Rhinolophus ferrumequinum: one gene and its partners. The protein of the gene in region 4 binds, or shares a complex with, the protein of the main gene of each other region. Links are inferred from orthologs where the notes say so. Each region holds a gene or a part of one and is shown on either strand. Other genes may lie near its edges. The genes, in order: THOC7, CHTOP, THOC2 and THOC5.

The links.
Region 1: the proteins of THOC5 (region 4) and THOC7 are in contact, whole or in part, in a cryo-EM structure (PDB 7APK), measured with the Homo sapiens proteins. The link is inferred for Rhinolophus ferrumequinum from reciprocal best matches to the Homo sapiens genes THOC5 and THOC7. Residues at the interface, in NP_001002877.1 of Homo sapiens: Pro48, Asp51, Tyr52, Tyr55, Cys59, Leu62, Gln63, Met66, Ala67, Gln70, Phe95, Lys99, Leu101, Asn102, Ala105, His106, Arg108, Leu109, Gly112, Arg113, Gln115, Thr116, Ala119, Lys120, Val123, Tyr126, His127, Leu130, Leu133, Glu136; in NP_079351.2 of Homo sapiens: Ala21, Asp23, Ile27, Leu30, Val31, Phe34, Tyr50, Met53, Leu54, Leu57, Cys60, Glu61, Met64, Gly65, Thr67, Leu68, Val70, Tyr71, Asn74, Met78, Tyr81, Ile84, Tyr85, Ile88, Glu89, Ser91, Ile92, Ala95, His96, Lys98.
Region 2: THOC5 (region 4) and CHTOP share a complex: the UniProt entries of both Homo sapiens proteins name them as parts of the transcription/export (TREX) complex. The link is inferred for Rhinolophus ferrumequinum from reciprocal best matches to the Homo sapiens genes THOC5 and CHTOP.
Region 3: THOC5 (region 4) and THOC2 share a complex: the UniProt entries of both Homo sapiens proteins name them as parts of the transcription/export (TREX) complex. The link is inferred for Rhinolophus ferrumequinum from reciprocal best matches to the Homo sapiens genes THOC5 and THOC2.

The regions. Positions count from the first base shown.
Region 1 is NC_046300.1:57,897,538-57,904,588, forward strand, and holds the start of THOC7 (THO complex subunit 7 homolog), read right to left. Parts: upstream 3,017-7,051; 5' UTR 2,882-3,016; coding exon 2,863-2,881; intron 2,273-2,862; exon of another isoform or gene 2,152-2,272; intron 1-2,151. UniProt on the Homo sapiens protein: Component of the THO subcomplex of the TREX complex which is thought to couple mRNA transcription, processing and nuclear export, and which specifically associates with spliced mRNA and not with unspliced pre-mRNA.
Region 2 is NC_046305.1:52,561,750-52,568,852, reverse strand, and holds the start of CHTOP (chromatin target of PRMT1 protein), read right to left. Parts: upstream 3,007-7,103; 5' UTR 2,642-3,006; exon of another isoform or gene 2,629-2,641; intron 2,130-2,628; exon of another isoform or gene 2,105-2,129; intron 1,701-2,104; 5' UTR 1,684-1,700; coding exon 1,619-1,683; intron 287-1,618; coding exon 133-286; intron 1-132. Other genes in the region: S100A1 (protein S100-A1), read right to left, coding at 4,063-4,206, 5,200-5,340. UniProt on the Homo sapiens protein: Plays an important role in the ligand-dependent activation of estrogen receptor target genes. May play a role in the silencing of fetal globin genes.
Region 3 is NC_046284.1:33,437,061-33,444,550, reverse strand, and holds the start of THOC2 (THO complex subunit 2), read right to left. Parts: upstream 3,011-7,490; 5' UTR 2,881-3,010; coding exon 2,810-2,880; intron 1-2,809. UniProt on the Homo sapiens protein: Component of the THO subcomplex of the TREX complex which is thought to couple mRNA transcription, processing and nuclear export, and which specifically associates with spliced mRNA and not with unspliced pre-mRNA.
Region 4 is NC_046308.1:18,919,314-18,926,774, forward strand, and holds the start of THOC5 (THO complex subunit 5 homolog), read right to left. Parts: upstream 3,017-7,461; 5' UTR 2,879-3,016; intron 2,873-2,878; exon of another isoform or gene 2,222-2,872; intron 2,185-2,221; 5' UTR 2,068-2,184; exon of another isoform or gene 2,064-2,067; intron 1,650-2,063; exon of another isoform or gene 1,516-1,649; intron 1,117-1,515; exon of another isoform or gene 1,082-1,116; 5' UTR 1,081-1,081; coding exon 985-1,080; intron 1-984. UniProt on the Homo sapiens protein: Component of the THO subcomplex of the TREX complex which is thought to couple mRNA transcription, processing and nuclear export, and which specifically associates with spliced mRNA and not with unspliced pre-mRNA.

The DNA of each region.
Region 1 (7,051 bases), on a different chromosome or scaffold from region 4:
GGTTTTATGCTAAGTGAAATAAGTCAGATAAAGACAAACACTGTATGATTTCACTTATATGTGGAATCTAAACAACAAAATAAATGATCAAGCAAAACAGAAACAGACTCATAGACACAGAGAACAAAATGATGATTGTCAGATGGCAGGGGGGTTGGGGGGCTGGATGAGAAAGGTGAAGGGATAAGGCAGTACAAAGTGGTAGTTACAAAACAGTCAGGGGGATGTAAAGTACAGCGTAGAGAACATAGTCAATAATATTATAATAGCTACATATAGTGCCAAGTGGGTACTGGGCTTATCAGGGGGATCATTTCGTAAATTATATAAATATCTAACCACTATGCTGTACCTCTGAAACTAATATTGAATGTCAACTGTAATTGAAAAGAGAAAGAGGAAGAAGGCACATTTCTCATCAAAGGAAAGTGGAAAGAGGTGAGTAAACCAGCTCTTACATTTAATAGTATTTATTGAACATTATGTGTCAGACTCAGTGCAAAGCACTTTACAACTTTTATTGCACTTAATACTCAAAGCCCCATGGGGTCAATTTTATTATCATCCCCATATAAAGAATGAAACTGAGGCTCCAAGAGGTTAATTAATCTGCACAAGGTCAGAGAGCTTTCTGGAGATTCCTGTAGCCTCTAAGCATGCGGGGGGCCCTTGACTGTAGTCAGTCACTTTACTAGAATTCATCATCCCTTTCCATCTCCTGGAGGACAAAACTCCTCTCTACTTTGAAGTTCTCCACCTCAATAAAGAGAAGTAGGACTAACAAGCATACAGTCACTCAAATCAGAAACCTGGGATAACCCTCCATCTTTCCCCTGCCATCCACTCCATCGTTGAGATCCTGACATTCGCCCCCATAAATCTCTCCCCCACCTGTCCACTTCTCTGCATTCCTTCTTCAGTGGTGCCCCCATTAGCTCTCAGTAGGACCATTACAGTAGCAGCTGAGAGCCCGGGCTCTACAACTTACTACCTGTGCAACCTTGGGCAAGTTTCTTAATACATATATGTGTTCCACTTCCATCTGTAAAGTGGGAATAAAAATCACAACACTGTTTGACATACGATAACACTATATAAATGTTAGAAATAGGGGTGGGAACTTACAACTCCTCGCTTTTCCCTTCCTCTCATCATTCTTCACATAGTAGAGAGTGTGGTTGTTTTTTTAATGCATTGCACTCAGAAATCTCTGGTTCACAACTTTCTAAATTCTAGGCAGTATTTGTCATTTTTGAGTTTTTTCTAGACTTTGGGGCTTTTGCACACGTCATTCAAGTCCAACTACGTCTATTTATCCTTCAAAAATGGGATTAAGACTAACTTTTTCAGGGACGCTTTCTGATCTCCCAGAATGATTAGCCATCTTTGTTACAAGCTTCCCCAGTTCTCAAGCTTACACTTCTCCTGCCGTAACGTTTGCCAGGCTTAAAACGAGTTATCCACTGTGTCTTTCCCACTAGACTGTACTCTCAGCGGGGCAAAAGGTCTCGCCTGTTGGTTCTCGGCTGGAATCCCAAAGCCGAGCCCAGGGGGATAAATATCTACTGAATAAATCAAACTGGAATAAAGCAAAGTTAAAATTTCCAGCGACGGAGCTGGACCGTTAAGAGCCTCCCACTTCACTACTCTCACCACATCCTCAAATCGGGGCCTTTTACTCTCCTTCCCAGTGCCGAGCCCCTTAACGTGGAGGTCCCTCCTACCTCCAGTTTTTCAGAAGTGGCCTCTCCGCAGGCATCTACGCTTACTAGTCACTCTCTTCAAGTAGACCCAGCGACCTGGCCCCCCCCCCCCCGCCCAGATGTCACAGAACTTCCTTCCTCCCAAACTGATAACCTTCTCAGGTTCCCCCCGCAGTTGCCCACGGAGCCTGTTCACCTTCCCCGAGGCATCGCCCTGTTTCATTTCTGCTCTCGGGGCACCGACCACCCGCTGGGCCCTCCTCACGGGGGTCCACCCCCCTAAACCGCCCTCACAGCTCCCCACAAGGCCAGCCCCTGCCCCTGCCCCCGGTCCCAGCTGACGACGCACTCTCCCCGAGACACACGCGCTCCTTTCGTCGCCTCGCTCCACCCGGGAGGCCCGACCCCTCCTCCGGCTCTCACCCCACAGACCCCCGTGCACGCTGACCGTCCGGCAGACGCCCGGCCCACACCTCCTTTTCGGGGCCGTCCTCGGCTCCTCTCCCCACCGCCAGCCGGGGCCAGTTCCGGGCCTCACTGGGATCCACCCCGTCGTGCCGGGGCCCTTCCCCACCGGTCCCGGACTCCTCCAGGTGTCACCCGCTATACGCGGGCGCCCCTGCTACACTCGTCCCGGAACGTGTCTCCTTCCTGCGTGGCCCGAAACCCTCGCCCCATCCCTGGGGCTCGCACTCCCCCCAGCCCCCCACGGGCCCTCCGGACCCCCGGATCCAGGGCCTCCCGCACTTCCTCCCCTTCGCGGGCCTCCCGGACCCCCCACCCCCACCGAGGGCTCCTCCACCACATCCTCCGACAGCCCGGACCCCTTCCGGTACCACCCGCCCACGCAGCGCTCCCAGCCTTCCCGGGCCCCCACGTGTGCCTCCCGGCCTCCCGACGATCCCAGCACAACCCCCCGGGCCCCGCGTGGCCTCCGGAGAGCGAGCGGCCCCGGGAGCGAGAGGGGCTCCGAGGGGGCCGAGGGGCTGCGGAGCGAGGCCGGAGGGCTCGGGGGAAGCGGCCGGGAAAGCCCCGGCCTCCGGGGAGGGGTCTGATCGCCGAGGCCCGGGGACTCCCGGAAGCGGCCGTGGAGCCTGGGGGTCCCGGGGGAGGCCGAGGGAGTCCGGGGAGCGGGCCGGGCGGCGGCGAGCGGCCTCACCGTCAGTCACGGCTCCCATGGCGTGCGCGGCGGCGGCGGCGGCGCAGGCTGAGGCGGCGGTTGGCGGCGGCGGAGGTCAAATTCCCACAATGCAGCCGGGTAAACAGCCATGGAGGAGGAGGCGGCGGCGCCTGCGGCCGCCCGCTCCGACGCCTGAGCCGCGCCGCGCCGCCGCCGCCGCCGGACCCGCGCTCCCCGCGCTCCCCGCACTCCCCGGGGGCGGCCGCGGCCCGCGCGTGTGGGAGCCAGGCCAGGCAGGCGGCGGCGGCCCGGCTGCAGCCCCGGCCCCCGCCGCCCCCCCTGCCGCCCCCGCCCGGCCCACGCCCAGAGGCCGCCCCGGAGGCCGCCGCCAGCCGCCAGGTGAGCTCGCCCGGGCGCCGCCAGTGCGGCGGGGGCCGCGGGCCGCCCGGGGTCGGGGTCCCGGCCCCCTCCGGGGAACGGACCGCGGCCCCCGCCGCCCCGTCCCGACTGCTGCTGCTGCGGGTGGGCTCGCCCCCCGGGGGTGGGGAGGGCGGCGTGGGTGCCCGGCCCCTGCCGAGCCCGGGGGACGTGGGACTAAGGGCACCGATGGGGCGCGGCGCGAGGGTCGGCGCGAAGTTGGCGCCCACGCGCGCCCCGGCGGGTCTCCAACGCGGGCACTTGCGCCGGGCGCGGCCGGTGATCAAAAAAGGCCCCGGGATCCAGGTCGCGTGCTGCCGGCCGGGGCGGCCGCCCCTTTCGCTCCTGGGTACTGGCGGGTGCTGGGAAGGGGGGAAAGAGAAACTTGGCGACCTCCGGGAGCAGTTCGCGGAGCGACGCAGAGCGGTGTGCCCGCCGCCCTCCCCCGGCGCCCGAATCCCGTCGCTGGGCAGGGATGGGGCGCTTGTGTTTATTTTTCTCTTTGACTTTCGGAAAATGTCTATGTGACTGTCCCCATCTTAAGGGGAAGTTGAAAGTGAAGGGGGAGGGGGTGTTTAATGAGAAACGTTGCCTTGTATGTAAAGTTACACATTTCCGGAGCACACTGCAGATTATATTGGCATCTCTTCCCAAAAGTCACTTTGATTCAACTTCGATGAGTTTCTCACAAATGGCAACCTTTAGGTCGTGAAAAGTGAGAAGAGGCGAGCACCGACCCAGCTGCTGATTTGCTCTCCAGTGGGATAGATTCAGTTAGGGCACCAGCAGCGTGTCTGAGTGTTGAACCCAGGTTTGATATTTTATTGATCATAGAGTTATTTTCCAATTTTCCTATCCCGCAAGTAACCGGCCTCTTCATCTCCCGGAGGTAGCACTTAGTGGCGTGGATCTGGTGGTTTCAGTTTCCTTACTAAAGTTGGGTTCATTTCTCTCAGTTCTTTCAAAGAGGAAGAGTTGTAAATGCAAATGTGTAACAACAGTGAAGTGTGTTTCATTTCACCTCTAGCTAGGAATCCAGTGTATGTAAAATACTATTCATATATGAAGTCAGAACTTCAATTATGCTCTTCAACAGTGTTCTGAAGAATCAGCACCTTTGACTTTTGGCACAGAGGTAAATAAATAAATAAAGTTAGGTTGAGTGAAGATTCTTAGGTGTAACTTTCCCTCCCCCAGGGCCTGAAACCTCTTGGGCTTTGAAATAATATTGTCCTAAACACTGGCTGCCTATTTGCATCAGTCCCTGTTCATTTTCTTGGTTTTAGGAGAGAAGATACTCTAACCAAAAGAAGAATTACTTTAAGTCTTAAGTACTATACATTGTAAATTGAATGTGTCAATTGATTGTCTATCCCAAAGGCATTTTAGCAGGGATCATTATTGTTTAAAAGGTAATTGTCTGGGTGAAACGATGTTCTTTTTAAGTTACTTGTTACTTAGTCTCATTATCATAATACAGATTTTGAAACAGTATCTAGTGATTTAAAATAATCTTTAATGTTGTTTATAGATAAGTATCCCTGTCCTCTGTAACTGTTAAATTTTCATGAGACATCCTATCCTTTATTTTGTAAGTTCGTTTTGTAACTTACAACTTTATTGGACAGTGCTAGAAATGTTCTGAAGAAGATCAAGAGAGATGGGAAAGGCTTTGAAGTTGGAGATATACCTGAAAATAAACATTCCTGGAAGTTTTTGAGTCAGGTGGTGGGAAACACATCAAAATTTGAGCCTTTATGAACTTTTAAAAATCTGCTTTGTCAGCCACGTAATTTACCTTGCAGTTGCATTGACACAGATCTGTGTGCTGAACATTTAAAAATTGTGTTAATGGACTTTCCTTCATATCATATATAGTGAAAGAATATATTTTAGTAAATTTTAGACATTGTCTCTTTCTCATGTGATCGATTATATATTAACATGTTAATGAACGTTAAAATAGAGCTCAAGTTCTAGGCCATACTGATGTTTCTTTTCTAGGAAAATCTCGGCAAGAAGTAGCAGATTCTAAGCTATAACAAACTGATTTGGACTTTGAACTTAAATGACCGTAGATTTGGTGATTTACTCAAGTCATGAGATTCCTGGTTTCTTTGAGACTATGAGAGTCTAGTTAAGGAAGTTTGTTTCAGTGTTTATTTAATTTTAACTTTATGAAACTATAAAGGATGATAAGATAACTAGCTATATGATCTTTACCTTGGTCTTATGAAATGATGTAGGCATTTCTATAATATCCTTTTAGAGCAAGGGTCTTCCAGGGGTCTGTGAACCTCTGAGCAGGGGTGGGGGTGGGGGTGGGGGTGGGGCAGGTGTCCACGAATAGGCTTCAAAGGATTCCTGACCCCCTTACAGTTGTGACCGAAACTTTTTGTATATGTGATTTTCTGGGGAGAGAGCCTATGGTTTTAAAATAGGTCCAGGGCCCAAAAAAGTTAGAGAAAGATGTTTTTATTAAATGGGAGTTCGAATAATTTTTAAGAGAAACAAGTAGGAAAAAGTAGATCTTGGTGTTCAATACTTGCCTTTTAAAGTTTCCTTCAGCCTAGTCATGTGGTCTTAGAGGTGCAAAAAGACTTCCATTTTGTTCCCACAGCAAAGCGTCGCCTGTGAGTTGATAAACCATGCACGCACATAAAGGGCTTGACATGCTATCTTGAGTGCATTGTGGCTGTTTTTAAATTATATTTAAAATTTTAGAACAGATAGATTTGTGGTCCATAACAGAGACTTGAGCCTGACAACCAGTCCTCGGAACAAATGGTTCATTCAGTTCCACTCTCTTATTACTCTCCAGCGAATCTGAAATCTGACTGGGAGGTAGTCACTCTAAGAAATGGGTTTGTGCTTTGGTAAGACAGCAGGGTGTGATGGGAAAAACACAATTTCTGACTCGAAACAGGCTTACGTTCAATTCTGGGTTCTTTCATTTACTGTAGCTACTTAACTTGCCTGACCCTCAAGTTCCTCATCTGGAGAAGACTGACTTAGTGGAGGTGTTAGGAAGCTGGCGTGAAGTTCCTGGTGTAAAACTCAGAGCCCCTTATTTGTGCCCAGGAAGGACTTGGAAGCTAGTTGTGGGTAACCATTAATAAACATCTGCGTGAACATGTATAAACAAACATGGTACATGATACCGATGTACGTTATTTTCAAATAAGTATGATGAAAATATTGAAACTTTTGGGAAAAAAAGTCAAGTTTTTAAAAATGAGTTCAGACTTACTGGTTCTTATATTGTAGACGTTTGGGGAAAAGTTGAAGGAGAATGGTGGTGCTGGTGGCCGCGCGAAGGCCCTGAGTGCTGGGCAGAAAGAAGCAATAGGCACGCAGCAGCATCGCCTGTCTCTGGGTCAGATTCCATTTAACTGCTGCTCTTCACTTGTGATTTCAATGAAAAATCTAAGTGAAAAACTGCACGTCTGCTTTCCAGTCCTTCACCTCTAAAAATGTTTGCACACCCCCTGCTTTAAGGGACCCTCACAGGTACCCCAGGGATTTCATTAGTGAAAGTTAAACCTAGGACTTTGGCTGTCTAATTCTGATATCTTTAAGACCTCCACAAGTGGGTACCTGCATCCATTTTTCTCAACAGGAAAGAGTATGGAAGAACTGAATTGTATTTTCCTTTCTTTAAACATTGAAGGAAGAGAGGGTATTATGAGTGAAAGAAGAGATATATGAATAAAATACTTATAAGGCTCGTGGCCATAAAAATACGCTTGCTGCCACTGTTTCTGTGGTCTTTCCTGTTTCCTCTCATTTACTCATGGTGAGCATTCATACT
Region 2 (7,103 bases), on a different chromosome or scaffold from region 4:
TCTCTCCCCCAGAGAAGTTTCAGCTTTTGCCCTGAGCCACCTTGGAACCATCCATCAGGTCCTGACAGGCTCAGGGAACTGCCTGCCAGAGATCACCAGCTGCTTCTGGAGTGGTATGACCCATCCTCTCACCTGCTTAAGTTTTAATGCTGCCTGGACAGAGGGTCTATTCTCCATCTGCTGGGCCAGTCTTCTGTTTCTGGCACTGGCTAGCTGCTGCTGTTGCTGCATCGAAGCCCGAATATTCACTGGCATCGGCTGTTTGTTCTTCAGCATATTAGTAAAGCTTCAAGGTCGAACAAAATGGATGTTTAAATAAAAGCTTTATTACAAAACATTTATTGGCATTTTCATGGCTTGCTAGACCAGGAGCTCCAGATCCCACGAACTTTTAAGTAAAGTGGTACTTAGATCAAGGCTGATGTGGGTTAAAGACTCCTCTGCTTCCACAAACTTGCAAGAATCAGAAACTGAGAACTGCAGCTAAGTGCAGCACATTCAATCAAGTGATAACGAGGGCTCAGGTGACGGCTGGGAGAGGTGGAAGGTATGAAAAACACGCAATAAGCAGATATGATGACAACATGAGACACAAGATGGAGTTTCAAAGACAAACGAAGAAAGCCAAAACCCTGGGAGACCTGAGGGTGCATTTTAAGGGCCAATACACAGGCCAGGAGCACCTCGGAAGCCCACGGGAATACGGCGCTCGTAAATCGCATGAGCACACCACATTCTCCTGTTTGTTCACTCGGTAACATGTGAACGTGCAGAATTAGTGTATCATTCCCCAGGAGAGAAGGCCAAGCACATATGCTTCAGAAAAGGAAAACATAAACATTTAAGTAAATCTTTTTGTGGTCGAATATCAACTTAACACATCACTGGTCAAAGGCACTCAACAAACAAAGCTCTCAGAGACAGAAGCTGCCTTTTAATACCTTCATTTTCTTAGTCTCAAACGATTACTTTTTCTAATTTCAAGTGTTTACTTCTGAAAAGTTAGATTTGGTCAATTGTTTAAGAGCTCGTGAAGACACTCTTCTATTATTCCTGTAAGGGTAAGTTTAATGGCATGGAAGAGAAAACACTTAACTGTAAAAGAATCCAAAACAAAACAAACTCAAAGCAGAATGCAAAGAAGGTGAAATGGAGCAAAAGCAAGTGCCTCTTACAAGACCCAAGAATGGCGTTCAAGGGCCTTTGGACATATTCACGGCTTGCTACCTGCCTCTTACAGGCCAGACACAACACTGCTGGCCTTGGACGGGGCAGCAAGCTGGCTGCAGGCTGCAGCCTGGGTACCGTGCTACTGAGCTGCACCATCCCTGTGTCAACGTTAAAAATGTGAAGAAAAGGGAGGGTGTGAGGAGTCTTTTTAAAATACATCCCACCAGACAAATATTTCAGACAGCTTAATATAAAAATCTACTGATAAGGGGTTTTGAAACAACCGCCCAATTTGCTTTGTGTACCACATAAGATGCAACTAAGAACAGAGGTCTGTAGCCTTCTGTTGGTATTTAGTTTAAAAACCGGCTTTTGTGCATTGGACCCCAGGGCCAATTTAAGTAATGTTTTCTTATGAACGAGCTGAAGTTGCTGTTGGCTGCCTCACCGCTCATTTAGAGACATCTTGGTGGTGCTTTTTAGCACAACTTTCGGCGCTGACGGTGCAGCCATCTTCAAATCCCGGTAATCTACAAAGGACAATAGGCAGAATGAGCACATCGCAATACCAACGACCTCACTTCTGCAAAGGCCAAAGGCCCAAAGCAACAGCGCCTGAAAAAGGCCTGTATCAACAGCTATTTAAGAGCACACTCCAACGCCTTCCAGGGGCTTAAATTTGTAAACGACCTCAAACCACCACCCTCAAAGACTCCACAGGACAGCAAGTATCAGCCAAAGCCTCCAAAATGGCAGACCTAGCTAAAGGAAGTGGAAGAGTTTGGCTCTTCATCTCGCGTGGTCCTTCTCAACCTTGGCTGCAAGGAGCTTTTAGAAACATTTAGAATCCTGGGCCCAAACCAATTGAACCACAATCTCTAGTGGTGAGGTCTGTGGGTCACAAATTGGAAGCGGAAAAAAAAAGGCTACCTACGTGCTTCTCCTGTGCAGCCAAAATCGGGAACCATTGATCTAGAGAAACGATAACGGGCATACCTAATATCAAAATCAAGTAGGGGCCTTAGCAAGGGGCTGGGGACCTGCCAGAGGGCGCAGGGAAGGTTTCCTAATTGGGCATTCACCCGGGACTTAGCTCCCAGAGAGCGCGCTACAAGATTTAACCCTGAAGCCGCCGCTCCTTTCCCACGATCCCCCAAGTCCTGCGTTTCTCCTTTTTTCCTCTCCCCACCAGCTCAAAGCCCTGGCAAGACGGCCAACTTTGCTCAACCGGCCAAACCGTTTTGCTTCTCAGCGCTACCAAACCCCAACCTTTCTTTTCCAGCGATCCCGCCACGAGGTTCCAGCTCAGGCCCGCCCCCGCGTGCCTCCCCGCGGCTCCGCCCCCTCCCCGGGGCCTCCCCACGCCAGCACCCCACCTGCTCCCACCTCCCACCCGGTTCGCGTCCGCCGGCCCCTTCCGCTCCGCTCCGCTCCCCGAGACCTTCCCCTCCTTCTCACCGCAGCGACGTACCGCAGGAAAAGGACGCCAGTGCTCCTCCCGGGGCTGCCACCACGGCTGCGGCAGGCGGGCCGGGGGCCGGCCGAACCTGAGTTGACGGCGGAGGGGCTCGGGTTCGCTTGGTGGGCGGTTGGTTAGATGCGTAAGCGGTAGGTTGCTAGGTTAGTTCGTTATTGTCGGCCGGCTGTCTGCTCGGTGGTCCGCCTGCGCGCCCGGCCTGCCCTGCCCTGCCTTCCGGCTGTGCCACCGCAAGCCGCTGCCGCCAACTCCCGCTCCGAGTCCAAACAAAATGGCCGCCACGCCCAGTGCGGAGTGGGCCCGGCTAAAATGGCGTCGACGCAATTACGTCAGGCGACAGGCCCACGCACAGCTAGTGGGCGGGGAGATTTGGGTTACGCCTGCGCGGGGGTCGGGGAGGAGCCTTAGGGAGAAGGCGGGGCTTTAGCCGTCGCCCCTTCCAGAGCCCGCGGTGCTCTGCCCACGAAGGGGCGTGGCCAACGGCCGCGCAGTGGGGTCCTGCGGGGCTTTACGTTCCAGACGCGGTTGCCGGTAACCTTGAGGGCCGCTCCGAGCGCGTTCGGTGCGGAGGCAACACATGCTCGTGTTTCCTCGCGCGCCTGCCCGACCCCCAGTCTAAGGCAGACCGTCCAAAATGTTCTACCTGGGACTTGTTAAAGCCTTATTTGGTGACAACCTTTGCGTGCCTGTTGCCCCTCCCACGTTGTCCCTCCCCCTCTGCCATCCATGTGGATGTTGATGAAGACATACATGGGACTTTTCTAATGCTTGCGTACACAATAAAAGGCGAAAATGGCTGAAGAATGAATGAACGAATACATCATCAGCCCTTCCTCCACCCCGTGCGCCCCCATCAGGGTTCTTTCGTTTCCCCTCCAGTATGTGCGCGTGTTTAATGGTCTGGCGTCCTCACGGGACGTGAGGACAAGGGTCTGTTTGGTTTGTTCACCGTTGTATCCCCGGTGCCTACTCCATATCTGGCACATGGCAGATCCTCGAAATAGGCTTTGAAGGTTGAAGGGAAATTCTTTGTCTGGCTTTGCAGCTGCGGAGCTAATGTCTCCTGCACTTGCAGCTGGTATCTTGAACCCCTGCCTTCCCGGGCCTTGAATATTCCTCCAGTAGGAAGATGTAATGGTCCTTTGACCTCTCTCCAAATAAGAGCCAACCCCGAATAAGGCAGATGGGGAGGGATCACACCCCCGTTCCGGAGCCCAAAGGAAGGACAACAGACTGGCGAGAGAGGAGCCTTTAATGAAAGAGTTGCAGGCCTGGCCCACGACTCTTGCGCCCTTGTTGGAGGGTAGGCAAGGGTGGGACTGTGGGGAGCGGGGCGCGGGGTGAGGGGGAAGCAGAGTACACGGGCAGGGGTGGCAGGGTAGAGGGGAAGGGCGCTGCCCACTGGGGCTGTCTGCTCAGCTGTTCTCCCAGAAGAAGTTGTTACAGGCCACCGTGAGGGCAGCCACCAGCACCACGTACTCCTGGAAGTCGACCTCCCCGTCTCCGTTCTCATCCAGCTCCTTCATCACCTTATCCACCGCATCTGCATCCTTCTGGGCCTGTGAAGGGAGATGGACGGGGAGGTGTATGGAGATGGATGGCGCCCAGTTAGAGCCAAGGGGGGGGTGATTGATTGGGGAGCAGGAGGCAGAGCTGAGCAAGAGGGAGTGCTACATCTAATTAGGGGACTCTTCTGCTGCCTTCCTCGAAACTGACAAACACTGCGGCCTCCTGCTGCCTATACAGTAAGCCCCTCAACGAGGCAGAGTTAGAAACACCCATTTATCATATGTTGAGCGCCTACAATGGACAAGCGCTACACTAGGAGCTTTATAAGCACTGTCTCGTTTAATTCTAACACAAATAGCATGAAGTAGGTTGCATTATTCCCGTTCTAGAGAAGAAACAAAGAGACAGTTGGTGGTTAAATAATGTGTCCAAAGTCACACAGCTAGAGTGAGCGTGGCTGCGCCCAAGCTTGAGCCCAGGTCTAATAAAACCTCAGAAGCTGAAGGCTTCTCCTTCAGCCTGTTTTTCTGCATCCTTCCCTGCAGTCGAAACTACTGAGTGTGCTCCATACTCTTCTTTCTGCCGTGCTTTTATTCACGCAAACGCCTCCACCCAAAATGTCTACTTTCATCCTAAGCATCTTCCATTGGAAACCTATGGCTCAAGTGTCGCCTCTGTGGAGAAGCCATCCCACTTCAGTCAGGTTAATGTTCTCCCAGAATCCTTCCTGGCACCTCTGTTAAGGCTCTGTGTGCTTCCTGGTGTCCAAAATTTACTTTCAAGGGTCAATCTTCCCTTTCCAGACTGTGAGCCTTGTTATGGCTGTATCTACGCAGGTCCTGGTCCTTGACAGATGATCACTAACTCGGGGCATTTTGGCTTGAACCAGGAGTAGGGGAGCCTGGAAAAACCCAGGAGAGAAGCCTGGGACGGGAAGGAGATGGTTGGGCTGAGCTGGGGTGAGCTGGGGAAAGGGCAGGGAGGGGCCCCCGGTGCCCCCCAGCCCTTGCCCGCTCCACCCAATCCCCCCACCCTGTACTCACATCCAGGAAGCCGGAGAGCTCCGTCTGCAGCAGCTCTTTCAGCTCCTTCTTGCTCAGCTTATACTTGTCCCCTTCCTTGCCCGAGTGGGTGTGGAACACGTTGATGAGAGTTTCCATCGCCGTCTCCAGCTCAGACCCCATCTCGAAGCTCACCTATGCACCCCCCACCATGGAAGTGAGCAGGGGACCATGCTCAGGATATCTGGGGTTGGGGTGAAGGGAGCCCTCAGGCCTGGTCCTGGTCCCACAGCCCAAATAGCCATGAGATTGGAGCTCCATCACAATGTACCTCTCAGTGGGACCCTAAAATGTAGGGGAACCCAAACAGATCTAAGTCCAGACCTGTTCTGTGTGTCCCTCCATCCAAACCCCCGCCAGAGGGAGTCAGAGTTTGGGGCATGGAGGGGGAACAGCTGGAGCAGGGCTGGCTCTAGAGGCCTGCGTGGACCCTGCAGTGTCTCCTGGCTGGCTGCACAGATACTGACGAGGGTGTGGCAGGCAGGCAGGCAGGCAGGGGTGGTCACAGGACCCAGCCAGGCTTCCTCTGGCTCTATTTTTACCCTGAACCTTGCCTGCCTAGCATAGCCAAGCTCTGCGGTTGGAGGTGGTGGGCTGGGCTCCTGTCTACAGACTTGACTCTGTTGCCCACTCCTGGCAAGGAGTCAGTCTGGTGCCCTTGGTCAGCCTGATGGAGAGGGTGGCAGCCTGAGTGGGCGGCCCAAGGGTCGTGGGAAGGAAGTCTCATTGCCTCTGAGCTTCCTGTCAGCAGATGGGGCATCTTTTGGTCCCTCAACTCTGTTCTCTCCTGAGCATGGCACTTCCCGGGGGTATGTCTCTAGCTTGGTTCCTCTTACTTTTCCACAGAGTTAGCCCTTCCATGGGGTGGTGGTGGGAAGGGACAGGAATGTCTGAGACTTTTCCCTGGAGCCAGAGCTTCTAGGGAGGGGAAGAGGAGACCCATGAGGACTTGTCACTGCTAGTAGCTACTCCCACCCTCCAGGCCCAGTCTGGTTGGAGTGGGGACAGTGGCAGCAGGGAGAACGGGGTTGGTATGTATTGGGGGAGATAAAGGGCCGAGTGCATTAGGTCCTCTGAGTTCAAGGGGCTGGGAGACAGGGGGAGAAAAATGGAGGGGTCTGTTGAGGAGAGGGGACTGCCAAGCCAGGGGGCCTCTTTCTCTCTGTCTTGGGACATTCAGCCCGACCACGGCCTCAGGGGGCAGCTCAGGTGTCTTAGATCAGGTGTCCCCATCCTTCCCTAGGCCTGAGGGGCTGGACAATGGGCCCTGATCAGATGACATCCCAGCTCTTCAATGGGGCCCTTGTGAGTGTCACCTGAACTCCGGACATGAGACGTGGTTGTCACAGAGACATGGGGGAGATGGAACCCAAGCCGGGGCTGATGGAGGGGATAAGGGGCCTGAGAGGGAGGGGCCTGGTGGCTCAGTTACCGGCCCCATCCAGGACGGGCACCTGGGGGTTGCCTGGAGCTCGCCAGCAGCCAAGCATTTCATGTGGGGGCAATCCTGAGAGGACCTCGGCAGGGAGGGGGCGGGTGGGAAAACAAAGAGGAAAGAAAGAGGAAAAGAGGAGTCTGGAGGTCTGGGCCAAGAAAGGGGAGGAGGAGAAAGGGAGAGTTGGGAGTGGGTACCACACCCGAGTGCCCCTCTTCCTGATGTCACATGGCCCATGCTCTACCAGACGTCCCTGGGCCCTGAGCTCTTGGCAAGGCTGGGTGGGGGAGGCAGAGCAGCTGCTCCATTTGTCCTCTCCAGCTTATCCCACCGGAAGTGAGCCAAGCGCTGGGACCCCTCCCCAGCTCCTGGGAGATTGAGGGAGGCTTGAGAGGGCACTGGAGGGCTTCGTGGTAGGAGAGCCTGATCTGGAAGCTTGGTGGCTGGGCTC
Region 3 (7,490 bases), on a different chromosome or scaffold from region 4:
ATTATGCTACAGTTGACAACTCCTGGAATACAGACTTACAATGGTAAGAAAAAAAAAGAAATGAACCTCATGAAACACATCATGCCTTTATAAAAAAGAAAAAGTAATTTTCAGTCAAGTTAAAGCTCACCTGCTAATCTATCTTGCTAAAAAGGAAAAATCCATCCAAGATATAATTTTAAATATTGGTCATATTCTAAAAGCCAGCTCGATAAATGGATTCACTAATAATTTAGTAGCACATTACCTTCATTTTTAACATTTCCAGTTGCTGGTTTATTTTTAAGAGGCTGTTTTAAGAAAAGGAAAGGATTTTTGTAATATAGTTACATCATTTGTTCTAATAAAATGTAAACGCTAACATCTATCTTTAGCAAGATACAAAATATCCAGTTAGACTATATGCAACAAAGTTTTCACAGAGGGCAAAGAGATCAAATAAATGAAGACTACTGGATGGTGATGTGTTTGACTATTTAAAATATTTCATTATGTCACACAACTAGCAACTTCAAACTCTCTTCATATAACCGGATACAATTATAAAACTGACTACACTGATTTGGAGCTACTGAAATTCAAACCACATTCCACAAGCCATGCAATAACGATATACATTTAAGTCCTAATAACAGTTTTGAAGCAGCTCTTCAAACACAGAACTATGACCAGTAGCATAGGTTATATAAATATACATAAAGTGAATCGAAAACTCCATTTTGACTAGGAATTTTGATCTCCTACATCACAGTTTTTTTCACCAACGACTGCCAATCAGAAGCCAAACAGCATTTCTTTGTGTCACAGCAACCTCCTAGCCCTAAAACTACTCATTCCAAGGTGGCAGTCATAATAGTAATACTGTCAAAAACAGTTAGCTGGAAGGAGGAAGCTGAGTAATCTACAAAAATGACAGCCCCTAAATAAATAAGTTGGCTTTAAAAGTAAACAAAACACTGAACTGATTTATCGGTTGGGGTGAGGGGGTATCATAATGTAATATAGATGACGATGATGGTTTGGTTTGGTAACTTCCCATCTTGTCCTCCCTGCACACAAGCAACCTAACAGCTATTTGTTAACTAGCAGAACGAGGATTTGGAAAATGCTCCAGTTAATAATGAATGTCTATCAGATAGACTTCTCTGTCAGCTAATAAGCAAACAAGCACTCTAAGCATATACTAGAAAGGCTGGGGTGGAGGGAGGCTGGAGAACTGAACCAAAACAAATGAGACAGCCCCCACTCTTCAAGGGTCTCAATTCGTTGAGTACAGGAGTACACATGAAAGAGAGACCAATTAACTGCTCACCTTCGTGGTACAGACTTTCAGTGCAAGAGCTGTCCAGGAAGTTTAAATATCTAAAGATTGGAATAATATTACATTTAATAGCTATCACTTGAGCACTTATTATAAGCCCAGTGCTTTACAGGCATTACTTAGTCTTCACAACAATCCTTTGAGTATTCCCAATTTACTCAAGGAGATACTGTCAAAGTGGTTAAGGAACTTACCCAAGGTCACTCAGTTAAGTGGCTAAGAAGGCCGCTTACCCAGGCAATCCAATTCTAGAGCTCACACTGTTAAGACTTCGTAAAGCGGTGCGAACGCGGGGAGGGAGGGTGGAGAGGCCATATAGGCAGGCAATACGACATGCGCAAGATCCGGCAACACGTTCCCCGTGCGTTTCGTTCTAAGTAACGAAGTTCCAAAGATTCGTTATCTTCTCCACCAGCAACCGTAAACTGACTACTTGGGGTTAGGGGGCGACGATGGTAAAAATGGCTAAGTCGTTAACTCATACAGGGTTGAGCTTTAGCTAATAAATCGATTCAAAGAAGCAAATGAGAAATTGTGGGTTTTTTTTTTTTTTTTTAATCTGGGGTTTTGCTACTTAAGCGATATCACCCCCCCCCTCGAGAGCGCTGAAATTTTGGGCGAGGAAACCGTGGGCATGGCAAATTACTATTTTCTGTATTACTTGGGGGGGGCAGTTTATAACTAAAGGAAACGCGTTTTTCTAGGTACTCGAGAACCTTGGAGAGTTGCCAAAATTAGTTGTAGTCCCAGGACAAAATGGGGTTTAGGAAACATTTAATAACGAAAGTTGAGTCCAACCCGAAATGACTCTAAGGTGAAAAAATGGAGCAAAGAAATGCCGGTAGGTCTTCGTGGAAAGCGACAATCCCTACTACACTTCTCCCACGGCCAGCGGCGCCCCGCGAGGCCGGGACAATCCAAGAGACCGCTCCCCGGGAGGACGAGAGGTGACAAGAGGGGCTGTTCGCGACGCCCCGGGTTTCGCGGCGGCGGGCGGAGAAGAAGGGAAGGAGTCCGGGATGGTTCGCCCTCCTCCGACTTCTGGAAGAGGGGGCGCCGGGCTCCAAACTGCGGAGTCGAACGGGTGCAGAGTGAAGAAATGGGACAGAGAGAGATGGAAAGTCCGAACCCACCCGGCGCGGCCCCTTAAGGAGAAAGGAGCCAAGTGAGCTCAAGCGAAAAGGGGGACAAAAAGAGAGAGCAGAGCAGGAGCGCAGGGACGAAACAGGAGTTCTGCTAAGAGGCTAAAGGAAGGCAGGCTACGGCGGGCAGCAGGGATTTCGGGGAGGCCAGGGAAGGAAGGAGATCGGCGGCGGTTAACAGTAGCTCTCCTCCCCGAGTTCGAAACTCCTAGCCATCCACACCCGCCGCCCGGATGGGGGAGGGGACACCTCACCTCCCACCCCCACCCCGCAACCTCCTCTCACATGTGAGAGTAACTCCCGGGCCCGGCCCGGCCGTGCGCCCGCCTCCAGCTCGGACACTCACAATTCGCCTCTCCCAGATTTCTCCCAGTTCTTTATCCACTCTACGGGAAGCACCACCGTTGCGGCCGCCATCTTCCTCTCACTAGTAACAGAAGCCCGGATGTGTAGCACGCGAGCTAGAGGTCAAAGGGGAGCACCGCCCACTGAGAATGCCGGGAGCTGCGAGTTCACTTTTCGATTTCCCGCTCCACGGTCCTCCCCACCCTGAGGAAGCCTAAGGCCCTGTGGCCAACGAGGTGGCCCAGACCCGTGGGCCCCTTCGCAGAGTGACGTCGCTGGCCGCGCCCTATGCCACCCTTGCCCTCACTTCCCTTTCGAACAGGAAAAGTGCCATCCCCAGGCCGACTCGTAGCCCTTATCTTCTTCCGTAGTATCTACTTAAGGCTACTAATTAAAACATATATTTTCCAAACACCTAATATGTGCTAGACACTGGGAATAGAAAAACAATAAACCATGATGCCTATCCTCAACGAGCTCACAGTCTGTGGGAAAGACAAACATACAAGCAGCTCGATTACAATACACCTTGCTAACTGCTGAGATTAAAAATAAAAATACTCATAGAAGAAGTACCCATTTACTGTGTGCCAGACATTATGCTAGTACAATCTAGCGAGAAAAAGAGAAATCGGCCCTGGGAAACGCAGCCACCAGTGCCGACACCCCATAGTGTCTCCCAGGTCTTTGTAACCTTAGGCAAAACGAGGGGGAGTACGTATCATGAGAAACAACTTATTTACATTACTTAGTATCAAAGTATCTCCCGACCAGATACTACTTCAAAGGGCGAAATGGAAACTTTAAGGTGGAAAAACTTGACAAAACAATGTTTCATCTGGGGATGAAAAGAAGCATCCCCAGAAATTAGACAAATGGGCATCATGTGCCTCCTGATAAGGTGCTAAGGAAAACACGAACCAATTTTGTAGTACTGGTCATGCCAAAAATTCGCATAACCTGCTTTTAATCGTGAGGGAACATCAGACAAACCCATATTGAGGGACAGTCTACAAAATTACTGGCCTGCGCTATTCAAAATCGTCAAGATCACTAAAGACGAGGAGTGAGGAACTCTTCCAGATTAACGAAAACTACGGTAGTGACAGCTGATCCCCAGCCAGAAAAAACATTTTCTTATGCTAAAAAAAGGGCATTATTGGGACAATTGACTACATTTGAATATCTATAGGTTAAGTAATAACATTGCATCAATGGTAATTTCTTGGTTTGTAGTGCTCATACCTTGGTTATAGGGAGAGAAAGTCCGTATTTAAGAAAATGCCCACTGAAGTATTTAGAGATAATAGGGCATTATGTTGCAATTTACTCTAGAATGTTTCAGAAAACAAAAAAGATAGGATGATTAAGCAAATGTAAAATATGAATATTTTGGGAATCTGGGTAAAGGACATACAGGGGTTCTCTTTTCTATTTGTGCAACTTTTCAAAATAAGGTTTCAAAAATATATCTTTAGCAGAAAATTTAGAAAATACAGACAAACAAAATGAAGAAATCTTACCACACATATATTAACATATGAACTTTAGAACTAATATCGTCTCAATTTGGCAAGTTTTGCCAAATAGACCAGGTTCACCTGTGTGGAAAAAACAGTTCAGGGATTAGACTGTATTCAGAATAGTTCTGGGGAAATGCTACATTATTATTGTATTTCATCAGCTATATCTAGTCTCCTAATGTCCTATCTGATTTTGAAATTCTAAAGCAACCCCCTAGAAAATACAATACACACCATTCAGTTTCAATGACATCTGCTCATAAAAACTTTTTGCCATTTCAAGGAGTTTCAGAAATATGACTGCCCTTTAATCTCATTTTTCATTATTATGGAGTATTTCATGTGTTAACAGAATGGCATAGTGAATCCTCATTGTATCATGATCCTTCCCTAAAAAAATTTGAAATCATTATTACAGGATGGCTTCTGTGATACAAGCAGCACTATCCTGCTGCTTATGTATTCAGTGTATAATCTACAGCACTTGACACTATCCACATTTGAAGCCAGATAATACTTTGGGGAGGGCAGGAGCGATCCTGTGCCTTCTTGGATGTTTAGCATATCCCTGGGCTGGACCTACTAGATGTCAGTAGCACTCCCCACACCAGTTGTTACAATATCTCCAGACATTGCTGTCTCCTGAAATGCAAAATAGCCCCCTGCTGAGAACCACTGAGCTACAATATCCTGCTGTATTGTGGCTTACCGTGCTACTGTATCACAGTGATTTCTCCTTCCAAACACTGAACTGTGTGCAGTATACACTACTCAGTATACCACAAATGTGGTATGACCTGACTGTAGTGATGCCCTTTGAGACCTTGGTGTTTCCTTTTCCTAGAGCCTGCAGAACTATTTTTGCATGGATGATGACTCCTTTAGGAATTCCTCACAGCTAATTGGCTTTTTGCTCTATAAGATTGCAAAGCTATTATATCTTTTGCATCCTCGTTATTAGCTTACCTGTTTTTTTGCTAACTGACATTGTCTCAGCAGCTGGGAGTACTGTTCCCTGGTGATCTCACTGGCACTTGGGTACCAATGGACTAGCCAGGGATTGAGGTCTGTGGTAAAGGCTAGCGATTTGGTAGTTTCAGTGTTGACAGTCTGGTGAACAGAGTGATAAGTTGATTTTCAATAATCCTAAGGTTAGGCAATCTTACCATCTCAGTGAAAACAGATAATGGGATCAAAAAGGAAGCACATAAAGCAAAACAAGATAAAATAAGTAAAATAATCAAAGAATGAATACAAATGTTATACCCTTTGTGGGCCTGTCCGTTGAAATGCTGTATATCGGTAATGGCTTTTTTATTAACTAAAGACTTAGTTATGTAAAATATACAAATTGAAATTTCTTGGATAACCACCACAAACACAAAAGGATATTATATATCTTCCAAACTGCCACAGCGGAAAAACATTGAAAGAGGAAAAAAAATCAATCAATCCAAAAAAAGGCAAGAAAGGAGGGAAAAGTTTTTGAAAAAGTGGGACAAAGGAAATAGACAAAGATGATAGATTTATTTTTTACAATCTTTTGTACTCTTTATTTTGAAAGGAAAAATGGTAAGTTTAAACTTAAATATATCAATAATTGCATAAAATATAAGTAAACTAAATGCTCCAGTTAAAAGTAAAGATTATCAGACTGGTTACACTTAAAAAAGTGTAACTAATTTTAAGAGACATCCCTGAAACACAGGGACACAAAGTTTAAAAGTAAAAACAATGGGGAAAATATAACAGGCCAATACTGAGATCAATACAAATTAAGCTGTCACAGCTCTATTAATATCAGACAACACAGATTTTAAGGGAAAAATAATCATTAGATTTAAAGAGTGTTACTATAAATTAATAAAATTTTCAATTCACCAGGAAAATGTACTAATCTGGAATGTACTCATTCAACCTCTTTGAAATATATGAAGCAAAAACTAACACAACTACAAGGAGAAATAGACAAATCTACCACCCCAGTGAGAGTCTTTAATTCATCTTTGTCAGAAATATGCAGACCAAAATATCAGTAAAAATGTAGAAAATTAGAACATCAAAGTGAACAAGTTTGATCTAGTGATATACATAGAACATTGTATGTAGCAACTGGAAAATAAACACCTATATTTGGAAATTTAAAAACATACTTTGAAATAAATCATAGGTCAAAGGAAAAGGTCATAGTAAAAATTAGAATACTTAGAACAGAACAATACTGAAAATATTACATATAAATACTAATAGAAAATGATAGGTTGCAGCTAAAGTGGTGTTTAGGAAGAAATTTCTACAATTAAACTTTTGTATTATTAAAGAAACAAGGCCAGAAATAAAAAAGCTAAGCATCAATTCAAGAAGTTGCAAAAACAGGGGTGGCCAGATGGCTCAGTTGTTTAGAGCGAGAGCTCTTAACAACAAGGTTGCCAGTTCAATTCCCTCATGGGATGGTGGGCTGCGTCCCCTGCAACTAAGTTTGAAAAACAGCAACTGGACTTAGAGCTGAGCTGCGCCCTCCACAACTAGATTGAAGGACAATCACTTGGAGCTGATGGACCCTCGAGAAACACGCTGTTCCCCAATATTCCCCAATAATAAAAAAAAGAGTTGCAAAAACAACAACAGAGTAAATGAAAGAAAGCAGAAATAAGGACATTTTAAAATAGCAAATATTAATAAAAAATGAAAATATCCAAGAGAAAATATCAATAAAATCAAAAATGGGTTTGTTGAAAAGTCTAATAAAACTGAAAAACCTCTGTCAAGACTGATTATAAAAAAGGAGAAGGTATGTATAAACAAATATTAGGAATTGTATAGGGTTCATGACGGGAAACACATGACATACTCAAAGGAGATAATTAAAGAGTTTAATGAGGGAACCATGCACAAGGGTGCTGCAGGATTGAGAGAAAACAACAAATGGATGGTGAAGCACCTCAGGGCTAGCAATACTTGGAAGTAGTATACCTAAGCCTGAAGGGGCAAGGGGACTTACTAAAAACTAAAGAAATATTCAGGTGTACAAAACAATGTTAATAAAAAAAACTAAAGAAATAAGGAAAAGTAAAATAAAATAAATAAAATAAAACAAAATAAAATAAAAAGGAAAGGAGGGGGCGGCCGGTTGATTCAGTTGGTTAGAGCACATGCTCT
Region 4 (7,461 bases):
CTATCAAAATGGCTGCATGACAGATAGCCTGTTAAATAAACCAGAATTAATTTAACCGAAATTGGGTGTTTAGATGGTCAAATCAAGCTTCAACAGAGACTGAAATATTATTACTCTCCTAGCGTTTGGAGTAAACAGAACATCTCTTTAATACAGTCAACTAGTTAATAATACTGTATTGCATATTTGAAAGCTACTAAGAGACTAGATCTTAAAAGTTCTCATTACAAGAAATTTTTTTGTAACTATGTATGGTGATGGGTGCTAACTAGACTTATTGCAATCATTTTGCAATATATCAAATAGTGAATCATTTTATTGTGCACCTGAAACTAACATAATGTTATGCCAATTACACCTCAATTAAAAAAGAGTCAGAATCATTGCCCCCAAAAGGATGAGGCCCTTCATTAATCTTGATTTCGTAAATCTGAGGCAAGTATCATTTCCTACTTAAATTTTAGCCCATATATTTCTCTATTCTAGTATTAAAAACAAACAAAAAATATAACCCATCAAATAATTAAATAGTTAAGTCATAAATGAGCTCGACAGATTCAAGGATAAAGAAATAGCAAAGGAGAAGAACCTACTGAGTACAGGAGCCCTCAGGCCGCAGAAGAGGGTTTGCGGGCATGTGGTTCTGGCACTGTCTCAGTAGCAGACAGCGATGCCAAAGCTCCAGTGGCATGCTGCAGATGGACTGCCTTCTTCTGACCACCAGGAACATTGGAGACACACACCATACTAGCATGAATTCTCTGTTCAGGCACTAATCACGTATATAGGCTTGTTGGTTCTCGGGATGCTGCAGCTAAACTTGATGTGGCTACTTTGTAGAGCCAAGTGAATTCTGGGCACCCGGTTAAGCAGAGGCCACCTTGGAGGCTGTCCCTGTGACCCTCAGCTGCTGTAAACCCACAGCCAGGTGCTTGGCCACAAGCTGCAATTTCTCAGCAGCACGGCAGCCCCGGCTGATCTCACCTGCTCAGTGTCAGAACGACTACGCTTCCCTTCCGATGGAGCTCCATCACTTCGGATCACTTTGGGCTTCCGTTTTTTGCTCGATTCTGATGACATGCTTGTTTAGTGAGGTCAGGCAGAAACAACAGAAACCTGTTAAGGAGATATCTTTCGATATTTTCCAGAGTTGGAACTGGAAATTTTCCTGAAGTCAGAATACTTGTGTCTAACTTTCAGTTCTTGCCATTTACACCCTTGGTAACTCAAGAAAAGTAGCTCAACGCTCCAAAGGCTCAGTTCAATCCCTCAGGCTATCCAAAGTGACCTCATCTTCTCAACCTCCACCTCCTTTAGAAGAACCACCTCACGGACCAAACTATTCAGATGCCATGTAAGCCCATTGCCAATACTATTGATAGATAACTGTGCTGGACCTTGATCTAAGCATTTTATGGGTATGTTCTCATTTGATCCTTTTAACAAACCTTTTAGATAAGAACAAGTACCATTTTATAGATGAGAACACTGAGATCAGAAAGGTGAATGACTTGCCCAAGGTCAAACAGCTAGTATGCTAAAGCTTGGGTCCATCGAATGCCACATCAGCGCTCTTGAGAACCACATTATTGTGCTTCCTAGTCTTGCCACTATGTCATCTGGCAATGCCATCAACTCCCTGGTTGACCCTAAAATTTAAAAGAACATTTCATGAAGCTTTGGGTCATAAAGCATCCTCCTTCCACTACCTCTCCTGGTTGTCACCATAGCCCCACTATTCCCCTTACCCCAATGAATCCTGTCACCAACAATTATTGAGGAGGCCAATAGCTCATTGTAGTGGAGTCAGAGAAGCCCTGAGTTGGAATCTCCACTCTCCTAGTTTATGGCCATCAGTCCCGGGACAAGTCAAGTCACTTCCCTTTTCTCTGGGTCTGTTTTCTCACAGATCAATTAAGAATAACAGTTCCTGGGGTGGCCCCTTAGATCAGTTGGTTAGAGCGTGGTGCTAATAACACCAAGGCTGCCAGTTAGATCCCCGCATGGACCCCTGTGAGCTGCACCTTCCTTAAAAAAATAAAATAATAAATAACAGTTCCTACCTACCTCAGGGGTTGTTATGGACATTAACACAGGAATGTCCTCCACTGGGAAAGGTGATGAAGATGATTTGGGAGCGGGGCTTTAGATGGTACATGGATGATCTTACATAATGTTGAACACCTGAGGAGAAAGTTAATCCCTTTTCAATTACTTTTAGAAACTTCAGATTGCTTCAAGGAGACTGTCTCATCTCCCTAGTTTACCTTTAACATCTATGAACACCAATATTCCTTTGTTAACAAAAGGACTGTCTCAGAGCTGTAGACTGAAATCGGGCCCGAATCATTAACAATGATCTGTTTTATTAAACATATTGATTTTTGTCACTACCTTCTGCATATGGCAAGTGAAAGAAATTTTATATTTACGGCAGAGACTTCAATTTTTCTTTTGAAGTAAATTCAAATTTTAAAAGTGACTCGATTAAAAACCTTTAGTAAACAGTCCTACATGGTTGGTTGATATGGCCAAACCCACAAAGGTGAAAGCCGAAAGGCTTAAACGTGGGAAATCCCGACTTTGGCAACACAGTAAAGAGTGCCTGGCATACCTAAGCGCACAATGAATGTCAACTGTTATCACCATTACCATCATCGTCGCGTCGCCATCATCTAGAGGCTACAACGTGGGCCTGACGATGTTGCAGCTACCGCGACATTTTCCACAGAAGGAAACGGCCTGGAACCCCGGGGTTGGTTCTCCGAGGACGGAGAACCCTGGTTGGACTCCAGCCCAAAGACGCCTTCCGCGCTGTCCACACCTCAATCCCAGAGCCCCCCTGCCCGCCCCGCCGCGGTCCCGATCCCTTCCTCACCCCACGGCGCCCGAAACCAGTCCAGGAGAACGAGCCACTTCCCAGGGCGGAGAGACTGTGAGCCGCGCACCATAGAGAAACGGAAGGAAGGAGCGGCCGGCCGGAAGCGAGGCGCGGAGGCCGGAAGCGAAGCGCAAAGCCCGCAGTCAGCGTGCAGTGCAGGCAGCGGCTTGGTGACGTGGGAGCAAGGAGGCCGCGGCACCTGGGTTTTAGGGGAGGGTCCCAACTGCCAACACCCTCGTACTGCCCTCTAAAACCAAGAAACTGAGACTTCAAGGACAAAGATTCTTATGTGCCTTGTTCACTTTTTCCCCAGCGCCTAAAGTAATGCCCAGCAGCTAGTACATGTTTTGTCGTTATTTGTTGTTTGACTAAAGCCCAACGTAACACAAGAGTGTGGTAGTGCCAAGATTTGGACCCTTGTGGATTTGCTTCCATACCTGGAATTTTCTTTTTTGGGTGGCAGGAGGTTTCTAATTTTGATGCTTATTTTGCTAGTTTAACTCGTTTGCTACTAGACAATATAACCTGGATTCTTAAACCATACACATTCATCCTAACATTTCCCACTGGTAAGGGTAGCACGTCAGGGAGGGCATTAACTCCTTAACACTTTTTCCCCCACAGGTGCATCACTAGTTTACCACTTTACGTCCGATTTGCCCAGGGCAGAGTCACAACTCTAATGCAGCATTTGACAGCTTCAGTGTTTTCTATCCCTGGTAGAATTGTGCATACAGGGAGGGTTCAGGACTTACGGTGTAAATCCTACTTATCTGGAGGTGGAAACACTTGGTATTGAATCCCTGGTTATACAGGACAGTTCCTTCTGCCATGATGGGAGGCCCTCCCCATAGTACCCTGGGCAGTGAGGGGTAAACTAGCCAGTTCAAACTGGGAAGCTGGCCCTGCCTTGGGCACCTGCCAAAGTTCCTTGCAGATGAAGAAAAAACAACGATGGTTTATAGTAAACATTTAATTGTTTCCATCAGGAACTCCAGCACAAGTTTTCCTGAAAGGGAGGCAGAATCAAGTTACCCAGAGGTTCATGAAGTATGGGGGTCACGGAGGAGGCTTCCAAAGTCACTGACCCCACTTCACACACCCAGTAGCCCGGCAGAATGAGGGTTGGATGGATAGAATGTGAAGAGGGAGAAAAGGGATGCAGGGGGAGGGAAATATAGGCCCTGGCCCATACCCTTGCCTGAAAGAAGGAAAAGGGAGGACAGGAGACGCTTTGTACAGGGCTGGAACTACATATTCAAGTTTCCAGCCTCATTATGTAGAAACAGGTGAGCCTCTCTGTCTTGTATTAGGAGCCCCTCCCCAAGTGGTCTTTTGTCACCTCTGTTCTATCGTCCCTATTATGTATTCCAAGTTCTGCAGTTCAAACCCTAGTTCTGAATCCTAAGTTCTACTTTCTGGGTTCCTAGTTCTGGGTTCTTGTTCCTGTTCCATTTTGTTTCCTGCCCCCAGATTCCTTCCATCTCCCTTTCCCCAGCCTTTCTGGGTGGAATATATGGACCTCCTGCTGACTTTGCTAACTTGAAGGCTTCCCTCTTTATATCTTGAAGCAATTCTAGGCTTTTCCGCAGCAAGAGGGACATGGTTTAGACTGTCCAGCAAGTATGTGGCCCAGTGGAGACCAAGCAATGCCTGAGCACCTGGCCTGCTTTGACCTCTTCCCTTCCCACCCAAGCTCTAATCCCTGGACACACTACCTTTTGTGCAACTAAAGCTAAACTGAGGGATTCTGTGGTGCTAACTGGGGACTGACTGGTGGCCTTGAGATGAGGAATCTTAAGGAAGATGTGAGAAGACATAAAAGGTTGTTGTTCTTCATTCAAAGGAATTAAAAACTGCTTCCCGCCCAGGGGAAGGAGTGCTGGGGAATGTGGGAACTGTCTGGGCAGAGCTGCAAATCCTCAGAACCCTGTCATCCTTCAGCTCCCCCTTTTCTGAGCTGAACACTAGCCCCCCGAGTCCTCCCAAATCCGAGAGAAAACAAGGCAGCTGGCCTGGGAGCTCCTCTGTCCATGGCTGCCCTGAGGGAGAAGGGGAAAGAGGTGGAGCCAACAGCAGCATCACTGGAGAGGTGAGATCTTCAAAGGAATCATGATCCGAGACTCCATGTGTCGCACCAACGGGACTGTGGAGAGAGGCAGAGGTCACGGATGAGGCTGAGGCGAGCCAACTCCCGAAACTGGCTTTTGAAGGGGGAAGAGGCCTGAGATGCTGAGACAGGAAAAGCCCCAATGCCCTCCTAAATGGCCCATGGAGAGTACCAGGTCTTCCAAACTGAAAGGAGAGGGGACTTAGGTGGTGATAAAATGCAACACTTAGAAAATTTTCATAATTATCTATTTTCCTGTATATGTGAAGAAAAAAAAACCTAGCATAATAAAAAGTGATTTCAGATACTACTGCTCATGACAAAGCTAGTTAGAGAGTCAAGTAGGGGGACTTAAAGAAAATAACTGTGGCAGTCGTATACGGGTAGAACAAAAGCTGTCAGCGGGTCCTCAAGTGGCTGAGGTATGAAACAAGCAGATTTAGTCCAACTGCCTCATTTTACAGATGGGGAGCCTTCAGCCCAGAGCCGGTCAACCCAAGGTCACCCAGGAGGTCAGACTGTTCCCTCCTGCTCAGAGCTATTCAAACTTTATTGTGCATGCAAGTGATTAATACTTATAGTTCTTGTTAAAGCACAGATTCTAATTCAGTGGGCGGAGGAAGGGCTTGAGATTCAGCATTTCTACACTTGATCTTAGCCAAAAGGCCGAGAAGCGATAGAGATTCAGCATTTCTAAAGGTCCCAGGGATGCTGACACTACCATCATTTGGGACCACACTTTGAAGAGCCTCCGGTAAACTTCAGGAGACGCATTCTCCCCTACACCAGTTAAGTGTGGCAGCCCAGATGTAAGCTCCTTAAGGGCAGGCATAGGCTCCTGTTCATGCTGGGCCCCCCAGCCACCTGTCCACCATAGTCCCTGGCACACAGTGAGGGCTCAGTCAACACCTGCTGACTCCAGCTGGTTCTCAGGGGGCCCAGCAAAGTGGCAAACGCTGTAAGCAAAAGAACTGGCTCGAAAAAATTTGCTGTATGCTTCCTTTGTGTCAGTCTGGGCGAAGTTCAGCACTTTTCACAAATTAGCTCCTGGAATCCTTCCTCCAGCCATCCAAGGCAGGCACTCTCGCCATCTTACAGATAAGGAAACAGCCTCTGTGAGGTGAACCAAGCCTGAGGTCACAGTGCTCGCTCACTACCCTGCTTCTCTGAGGCAGGGACCTCCCGGTGGTGTTGTCATCCCCCACAGCACTCACTTAGGGACTCTGGATCATGTGGCGTGTGCCACCCCGATAGAAACCCACTAACTCATTTTATTAAAAGAAAGTTCCTCATCACTAAAGGTAATCAAGTGAGGCTAGCTCTCCTTGCAGAGGAGATTCCAACCTCAGTTAGGGCTCCTGCAGATGACCTCCAAGGGCCTCACGAAGCCCCCAGAGGTGCTTGCTCACCGGTGTAGTAGACATTTTCATCCCAGCCCCTCTTCCTCCAGGCAGCATTTCTAGTTTCCTCCCGAGACTGCAGATCTTTATAGGCTGTAGGAAAGGCATTGTTTCATTCTTTGGGCAGAGGATCTGACCCTGGACCCAGCACAGGGCCCCCCTCCCACGGCCCTTCTCCCTGTCCTGCTGTCTCTTCCTCCACAATGCCTTGGACTGTTAGCAAACACTGTCTGCCTTGACAATCTCATTCGATCAGTACATTTGTTTACAACTCCCAAATTTATATTTCCAGCCAGAAATCTCCCTCAGGCTCCATACTCATGTATCTGGTGCCAACTAAACATCTCCACCAGGGTATGTCAGCATCACAAATATAACACTTTTGAGGGTCAAAATTACACTCTTAAACCCTCCAACCTACTCCTCTTAGGGTCTCAGTAAGCGACATACAGCTGCTCAAACAGGAGTCTGGGAGTCCTGGAGTCCTCTTCTTGCCCCACACAGACAGTTCATGCAGAAGTCCCATTGATTCCACCTCCGAACTAATTAATTTGTGGACTTTTCAGCAATTTCATTGCCACCACCTTAGGCTAGGCCACTACCTCTCCTGCCTGAAGTAGTGTAACCGTCTCTTGATGCCCCAGTGCCTCTCTGCAAAATACTTCCCTGCAAAATGCTCTCAGCAAAGCACATGGCAGCCAGAGAAGTCATATTAGAACATACTATAGGTCATGTCATGCTGCTTAAAATGCTGCAGCAGCCTCCCATTGCACTTAGAATAAATCCCACCTCGTCCCCATAGCCTGCAAGGCCCAGCCTGACCTCACACTCTTCCCCACTCTTTCCACACAGGGCTCGTTTGCACTCCTCAAAACCCTGAAGGCCTTTCCCCATTGCAGGGCCTTTGCACGTGTTGTTCCCTCCATGCAAAGGCCCTTGGAATGCCCTTCCCTAGCAATTCACAGCTGGTTCTTTCTCATTCTTTAGCTGGGCTTACATTTTTACCTCCTCAGAGAGGCCTTCTTTGTCTATTCTAGCCAATGCAGGTTCCCATGCTTTTCTTCATCATC